Neurospora crassa OR74A: one gene and its partner. The protein of the gene in region 2 interacts with the protein of the main gene of each other region in a pairwise test. Links are inferred from orthologs where the notes say so. Each region holds a gene or a part of one and is shown on either strand. Other genes may lie near its edges.

Evidence for each region.
Region 1: the proteins of cys-18 (region 2) and NCU04097 interact in binary tests that used the Saccharomyces cerevisiae proteins (3 or more experiments, as listed by UniProt). The link is inferred for Neurospora crassa OR74A from reciprocal best matches to the Saccharomyces cerevisiae genes SAH1 and CAF16.

The regions. Positions count from the first base shown.
Region 1 is NC_026505.1:4,815,806-4,819,642, reverse strand, and holds NCU04097 (ABC transporter), read right to left. Parts: upstream 2,157-3,837; 5' UTR 1,854-2,156; coding exon 960-1,853; 3' UTR 587-959; downstream 1-586. Other genes in the region: NCU04098 (monothiol glutaredoxin-5), read left to right, coding at 1-220, 324-511.
Region 2 is NC_026504.1:1,317,696-1,321,611, forward strand, and holds cys-18 (adenosylhomocysteinase), read right to left. Parts: upstream 2,746-3,916; 5' UTR 2,390-2,745; exon of another isoform or gene 2,321-2,389; 5' UTR 2,300-2,320; coding exon 963-2,299; intron 905-962; coding exon 892-904; 3' UTR 349-891; downstream 1-348. Other genes in the region: NCU07929 (eukaryotic translation initiation factor 3 subunit 3), read right to left, coding at 3,763-3,916. UniProt on the Saccharomyces cerevisiae protein: Adenosylhomocysteine is a competitive inhibitor of S-adenosyl-L-methionine-dependent methyl transferase reactions; therefore adenosylhomocysteinase may play a key role in the control of methylations via regulation of the intracellular concentration of adenosylhomocysteine.

The DNA of each region.
Region 1 (3,837 bases), on a different chromosome or scaffold from region 2:
CCCGTCCTCTTCTACCAGAACCGCTTCCTGTCCGATGCGACCCGCCAGGCCATCGACAAGGCCGTCGCCTCCGCGCCCGTCGTCCTCTTCATGAAGGGCACCCCCGAAACCCCCCAGTGCGGCTTCTCGCGCGCCAGCATCCAGGTTCTGGGTCTGCAGGGCGTTGATCCCAACAAGTTTGCTGCTTTTAACGTTTTGGAGGATGCCGAGTTGAGGCAGGGTATGTTACACAACCAGTTGGGACAAGAAAAATGGGAAAAGTAGACAAGGACAGAAATGCTGACACAAGTGGGCGTGCACCGCGCATCATCATGCATATATAGGCATCAAGGAGTACAGCGACTGGCCCACCATTCCTCAGCTTTACATCGACAAGGAGTTCGTCGGCGGTTGCGATATCATTGTCTCGATGCACCAGAACGGCGAGCTTGCCAAGCTTCTCGAAGAGAAGGATGTTTTGGTCAAGGGCGAGGAGGGTGCTGCTGAGGAGCAGACCGAGAAGAAGGAGTAAAAGAAATGAAGCGGCGGATGCGGATGCAGCTTTTGGCTATGCGTGGAGGAAATGAGTGATTCATGAAGCCATTGTACTTGTACTGATACCATTTGATAGACGATTGGGATCGCATGCCTAGACTGTACGATATGTGTTTACTCTTTGCAATACTGAAAAGCGACGTGGAAGTGCTTCTCTGGAAATTCATCAGGACATTGGGAAACCAGATAACAGCAGATGATGACATGTAAAGTACATGTGAGACAGATTCCCTCAAAAGTATCTCGACCTATACCCGTCTATGATGTGTTGAAAACGCCATGTTAAATGCCGCCTGGGTATCATGTTAAAGCTCCCTTTTCCTCATGCACACAAAGAAAACAGAAAAACACAAAACAAAACAAACCCCTCAGCCATGTTGAACTCTCTCTTCTCCTCCCCCCTCCTTTCAGTTACTGTCCCCATCTCAGTTGCAGCTAGGCCCATCCGTAGCCTGTTGATTCGTCTTCGCCTCCAACCCATAACCGCCCAAGCCCGGGCTGTTATAACTCAACCCCTCCGGTCCCCTCCTGTGCTGGCTTCTCGGCCCTCTCTCCTTCAAATCATCCCTCAACCACCTCAACACCAGCTCTCCCAGCCTACTATTTCCCGTCACGCCTTCAATCACATTCTTCCCATCCTCGACCTCCTTCAACATCTCCTCCGCCTTCCCCCACCCCTTCACAGTGCCCAAGTGCATGTGCACCAGGTGCGTCGGCCAACTGGCCAAGTTGTCCAGGATGTGCGTCGCGTACACAACCGTGCACTCTCTCGTCTCCGTCTCCCGTCTCAGCCACCCTAGAAACTGCGCCCGGGACCAGACATCCAAGTCGACGGTGATTTCGTCCAGCAACAGCACCGTCCAGGGCCGGATCAAGCCCATTGCCAGCTGCACCCTGCGGCGTTCTCCGTCCGACACGGCGTGCATTCGCCAGTTGGTGTCGATATCCAGCACCGACACCAATTCATCCCTTCTCTCGGGATAAGCATCGCCGCCCACTGACCGCAGCAGCTCAACGACACCAATGTCCGTGCGCACAATCGCGTTGAGGACCCATTCCAACCCCAAGTAGGTGACGCCCTCCAGACCTTCCTTGAACGGGTCAACGCCCGACACTTTGATGGTGTTGGCGGGCGCGAGACGCTTGCCGGCCAACAGGCGAAGCAAGGTGGTTTTGCCGGCACCGTTGGCGCCAATCAGGAGCGTGCGTGAGCGAGGCGGGAGGGAGAGGGTAATGTCCGAGACGCCGTTGGAGCGGTCGGGAAAGCTGTAGGTGAGGTTGAAGGTTTCCACTGTTGGGGGGGCTGGTTGGGAGGCCATTGTTTTTTTTTTTTTTTTTCTTGTGTGCGTGTGGCTGATGGTTCGATGAACGGGTTGGGTTGTTGGTGGAAGGTTTGTTATGTTGGCTCTCTCGAGTGAGAGATATGGTTTCTGGTTGGCTCTTTCCACTGTGTTTACCCTTAAGTTCGTGTTGTTGACAATGTGAAGGGATGTACTATGGTGTTGGTGGGAAGGGAAAAAAAAAAAATCGAACTTGATTTGGGGAGTGAGGGGGAAAATGGATGGAATGAGGGGGTGATAGCGGCAAGCGGCAAGCGGCAAATGTTGGGTGATGCGAAAAACGGAACAGTTCCCACTTGCACCTGACAGTTTAGAGAGCTCGGCGATGTTGGGCCAGAAGGTCTGTCGTTTCAATCCGCCCTCCCCCCTGGAAAGTTTTGCGGGGCGGTACCTGATGACGCAAGTACGCAACAAGGGCCGTTTTGAGTCCACATGGCGATTCAATTCTTCAACTCCAATAATGTGCGAAGAGAGAGAAAGCAGAACGTTCCCGATCAAAACACCTCTCCACCTTGGTGTCTTAGATAGGCCTATGTCTTGCGTCCGAAAACCGGGAATAGTTCCAAACACTTTTCCTCATCATGTCTCACTATTACCTACTACCGGAACAAACATCGTTCAACTTCGGCATCTGTTGCAAGGAATCCATGCAAGGAACCAGGTGGTCGGTGATTCAAATTCACTAAATATACAAACCGGAAAAATGTGAAACCACCAACACCTTCCTAAAACGGAAACCAAAGGTATGGTGTTAGTGCTGACTCACCTCAACTCACCCTCCTTTAACAACACAGAGTGACCGGAAAGAATGTCAAAAGATACAATACGAAGGCTCGGAGGCTTTCGATGGGACGTGACCGAGGGTAGCAGTACTGTACAGCACCCGCTCCAATCCCCGGGATCCACAAATGCAGTTGCTGCATCGATCACCATGGCAACACATGGGGGAAATCGGTTGTTCTGAGACACGAACCCATACTGCGTAAGACGGACAGAAATCCCATTACTGCCATTTGCAAGTATTTTGTTGTCTGTCACTTGGCGGTTTGTAGACATCCTCAACCCCCTTGCTAAGGAAGAAAACAGAGCCGAAGAGACGCAGGAATACGGTTTGGCGATACAGGATGTATATTGACCCATCGACTACACCAGAATTACTGCCATGCAAGTGAAGGATGTAAAGATGAATGTATCAACAACCCGAAATCCCTTTCGTTGATTTGTATCATTTGATTCTTTGCTCCCCTGATTCACCAATCGGGGCGGCCCATGGTAGAAGTTTAAGTTGGTGATCAGTCACCCAACTCGAATAAATCACCCATCCTACCGTTCCAACCAACCGCCCCCTATCTAACCTAACCGCCGCCGCAGCCACTATCCTCAGGTTCCACGTTCCAGAACCGGTTTCTCTCTCTCCATTCTTCCCTTTTAAACCCCGAATGATGTAAAACGATAATTGGTATCCCTTGAACAGAACAGAAAACAAAGCCCCAGCCAGTTGCGTAATAAGCAAGAAAGAAGTGAAGTAGAATGAAAAAAAAAGGAATATGCCGTGCCGCAAGAGGAACATATGATGAGAAAGAAAAGAAAAAAGCTCTTTCCCTTTCGTCGTCTCTCTTCCTTTTATGCTTGGCCACCAACCAATGCTGTGCAAAAAAAAAAAAAAAAAAAAAAAAAAAAAAAAAAAAAAAAAAAAAAAAAAAAAAAAAAAAAAGACATATGATCAAATGCTGAATGACGCTCGTAATCCATCTGTCCACCACAACCGAGGGGAAAAAAAAAGAGTTCAGACAATAATAATAAGACACGAACAAGAAAATAATGGTATCTCTTCTCCCCCTTTCCTCTGCTCTTCCCCTCATCTTGAGCCGAGTGTTTGGCTTTGCGCACTCTTAATGGTCGTTTTGCTCGCCTCTTTACCTCCTCTTCACCTCTCTTCACTTCCCGACCCAGGCCTTTTCAT
Region 2 (3,916 bases):
TGCAGAACACATTCTCAGTAGGGAGGCACGCTGCCTGGTCCCGTTGCAGGCAACTAGAGGTAGTAGATAGGTATATAAAAGGCGGCAATGCAGTTTCCGTGCAATGGAACGGAACGGACGCCGAATGGTTGAGCCAAACCAACTACGATATGCAAGATCACGATATGTTGGAGTGGGAAGTGTCCATTCGCGGGCGGGCGAAAAGAAGACAAACGTGATGCTACTTTGGATGATTGGAGAGCCAGACTTACTCGTGTGGCTTTTGCGGCCGTTCGTCGTACCACTACTTCCTTGAGAGGGACAAATACAACACAAGAGACGCACGAAAATCAGACATGAATCGCGTAGCAGGAAGGGAAAGTGTGAGCCATAACCACATATTATTAACTTCGGTGGCTTCTTTGGTGTACCACAAAAAGACATGCCCAAAAAAGACTGTGTCTTTCTCTATTCCGTAGTCTAATTGTTCCCAGGCCTCGGTTGACGGGCCTTTGGGTATAGCCTTCCTCTCTTTATCGTCTTCTTGCACTTCATCAGGTGCAGCAACCAGCTACTTACGTTTCGAAAACACACCCGTCTCAAATGCCTCGAGGGTGTGTCATGGGATATCATGTGCCAAAGCCAACGCCGTACTTTTGTTGAAAATTTGTACCCGAACCATCCCTAATATACCGTTTTGAAAAACCCCTAGTGAAAGACCCCCATATTGAACCCGGTTTTGTCATGCAAATCATGCCTGTTGAAAACGATGCTTTGTGGAAATCCCAAACATGCCGCTGAGAGATGTTTTGTCCATAACCCAAAGTGTTGAAGGAGATCCTCAGTAAATTACCTCCCCTATCCTAGCCAAATACGACAGGAGAGGGTGGATATATGGTATTGAAAGGGAAATTAGTAGCGGTAGCTGTGACTTGGTTAGCATATCATTCATCAGGCACCAGAAAGGACAGGAAGTAACATACTGGTCGCTCTTGTAGGGACCCTCAGTGGCGAGGCCGAGGTACTCAGCCTGGACGTCAGAGAGCTGGGTAAGCTCGACGTTGCAGTGGTCGAGGTGGAGACGAGCAACCTCCTCGTCGAGGATCTTGGGAAGGACGTAGACCTTCTTCTCGAGCTTGCCGGACTTGCCGAACTCGACGTACTTGTTGGAGAAAGCCTCGTCGTTGGCCTTGTAAAGCATGATCTGAGCAAGGACCTGGTTGGTGAAAGAGCAGGACATGACGAAAGAGGAGTGGCCAGTGGCGCAGCCAAGGTTGACAAGACGACCCTCAGCAAGGAGGATGATGTGGCGGCCGTTCTTCATGAGGAAACGGTCAACCTGGGGCTTGATGTTCTGGACGGAAGCAGCGTTGGCCTTGAGCCACGCGACGTCGATCTCGACATCGAAGTGACCAATGTTGCAGACAATGGCGTCGTTGGGCATGACCTCGAAGTGCTTGCCGACGAGAATGTCACGGCAGCCGGTGGTGGTGACGAAGATCTGACCAAGAGGAGCAGCCTTCTCCATGGTGGTGACCTGGTAGCCGGCCATGGCAGCCTGGAGGGCGTTGATGGGGTCGACCTCAGTGACAATGACGCGGGCACCCATGCCGGAGAGGGCCATGGCGCAGCCCTTGCCGACATCACCGAAACCGGCGACGACAGCGATCTTGCCAGCAATCATGACATCGGTGGCGCGCTTGATACCGTCGACGAGGGACTCACGGCAGCCGTAGAGGTTGTCGAACTTGGACTTGGTGACGGAGTCGTTGACGTTGATGGCGGGGACAAGGAGCTTGCCCTCCTTGAGCATGCGGTAAAGGTGGTGGACACCGGTGGTGGTCTCCTCAGAGACACCGAAGCAGTCCTCGAGCATCTCGGGGTACTTGGTGTGGACGAGGTGGGTAAGGTCACCACCGTCGTCGAGGATGAGGTTGAGCTTCTTGTTGTCCTTGAAGGCAATGAGCTGCTGCTCCAAGCACCACTGGTACTCCTCCTCGGTCTCACCCTTCCAGGCGAAGACGGGGACACCGGCAGCGGCGATGGCAGCGGCGGCGTGGTCCTGGGTGGAGAAGATGTTGCAGGAAGACCAGGTGACCTCGGCACCGAGAGCAGTGAGGGTCTCGATGAGGACGGCAGTCTGGATGGTCATGTGAAGGCAGCCAGCAATGCGGGCGCCCTTGAGGGGCTGGTCAGCGGCATACTTCTTGCGAGTAGCCATAAGACCGGGCATCTCGTTCTCAGCGAGCTCGATCTCCTTGCGGCCGAAGGCGGCGAGGGAAAGGTCGGCGACCTTGAACTTGTGGGCGGGGGCAGACATGTTGGGTGGATATGGGGATATCTGTGAATGGAGAGTACAGGTTAGAATTGGTGATGTTTTGGAGGGAGGAGAGAGAGCAGGAGCACTCACGATGAGGGGGATGGATGGACAAAAAGTGAGAATACTCTTCCTGGCAAGGGGACAGCAATGGATTTATTTAAAAGGAAGGGACTGAGGGGATGGGGTGAAAAGTGGATATCGGATGGCACACGGCAGAAAAGAGGACACGGCCCTGGGGGAGCAGGGGAAGCGAAGGGGAAATCAAAGGGCCCGGAATCCAATGACACAGCTCACAAGCAGAATGTGCAGAGCCTGACTGCCTGACTGACTGAGAGTGGCAGCCGGCGGCGGAGAGGAACAGCAGGGCAGACACGGGTCTGACGGGCAAGCAAAACGAAGCCAAAACTGCTTCGTGCAGGAAGTGGGGAAGGGTCGACGGGGTTTACACTACACTAGGGAAAAAAAAAATGAGAACCCCGCGGGCAAATCTGTCGAACCAGCAGCTCTGTCGGTGTGCATCAGACAAGCAGGCTAGTCCTAATTCAGCTTTATTCCCCACCACAATGCGAGTGCTTGCCCCTCCTTTGCCTGCCAGCCGTTGTCGTCGACGCGGCAAATGGCAATGTGCTTTCTGCCGCCAATTCGACACCACGTTGTTCTCTTTCAGCTTGCCTTTTTAGCGCTGATGCCGTCGGCCTAAATAGTGGGGTTTTGCGGGCGGATGGGCAAGGACGGACATTCATTCACTTTTCGTTTCGGCCGAACTGGACGTTTCCAAGACATCGGGTGAGGTTGGGGAGTTCAACAATTGTTATCGGTTATCGTCGTATCTGGACCCGAATGAGGTTTGGTGCCCATGAAAGCCAACCTCAACGGAAGCAGTAAAGCGCCTGGTCAGCGTCTGCAGCAGCAAACGGGGGGGAAGCGCGGACATGGCGTTGAGATGTCCAGCTAGAGTGCTAGACACATCCCCGAATTGATGAGACCCATTTTTTAACAATTCAGTTTCGGACTTTCTCCAAACCCTCCCATCCAGGGCCGTGGCATCTCCATATGATTATAGGCAATTCATTACATATACGGAAAGCTGAAAAAAAAGGCTGGCCCCTTAAACATAGTAGAAGATAACGGCTTATCGCTTGATTGACGGGGATCTCATGTCTGATAATTCGTCCAACGCGTCCCTCATCGCCTTTTTGGACGCATCCCTTTTGTTTTCTCTAGTGCCTCAATGCCTCCCCCACGTCAGATCAGCAAGGCCACCACAAGATACTGGATGTGATTGCAGCTCTCCCTCCCGTCCCGCTTTACGTAGGCTGCATGGCCGACCCTGCCCTAGACCTTGCAAGGTAAATAACACGCCGACAACCCGGAACGCCAAAACCAAATGCGGCTGAGATATCGTGGCCACCGTCCTCTATCGTCCCATCAAAAAACACCACCACAACCCCTGGTAGCCCCTTTTACTCGGGGAGAAGGTTGCCGCGAACGGCGAACATCTTGGCCGTGATGTTGGCCGTGAAGGCATCCACTTGCCTTGCGTACTGGTCGACCTGGCGGGCGTTGAGCATACCCTCGAGTCTGCTGGGCTCCTGGGGGAGCTTGAACAGCCTCTGC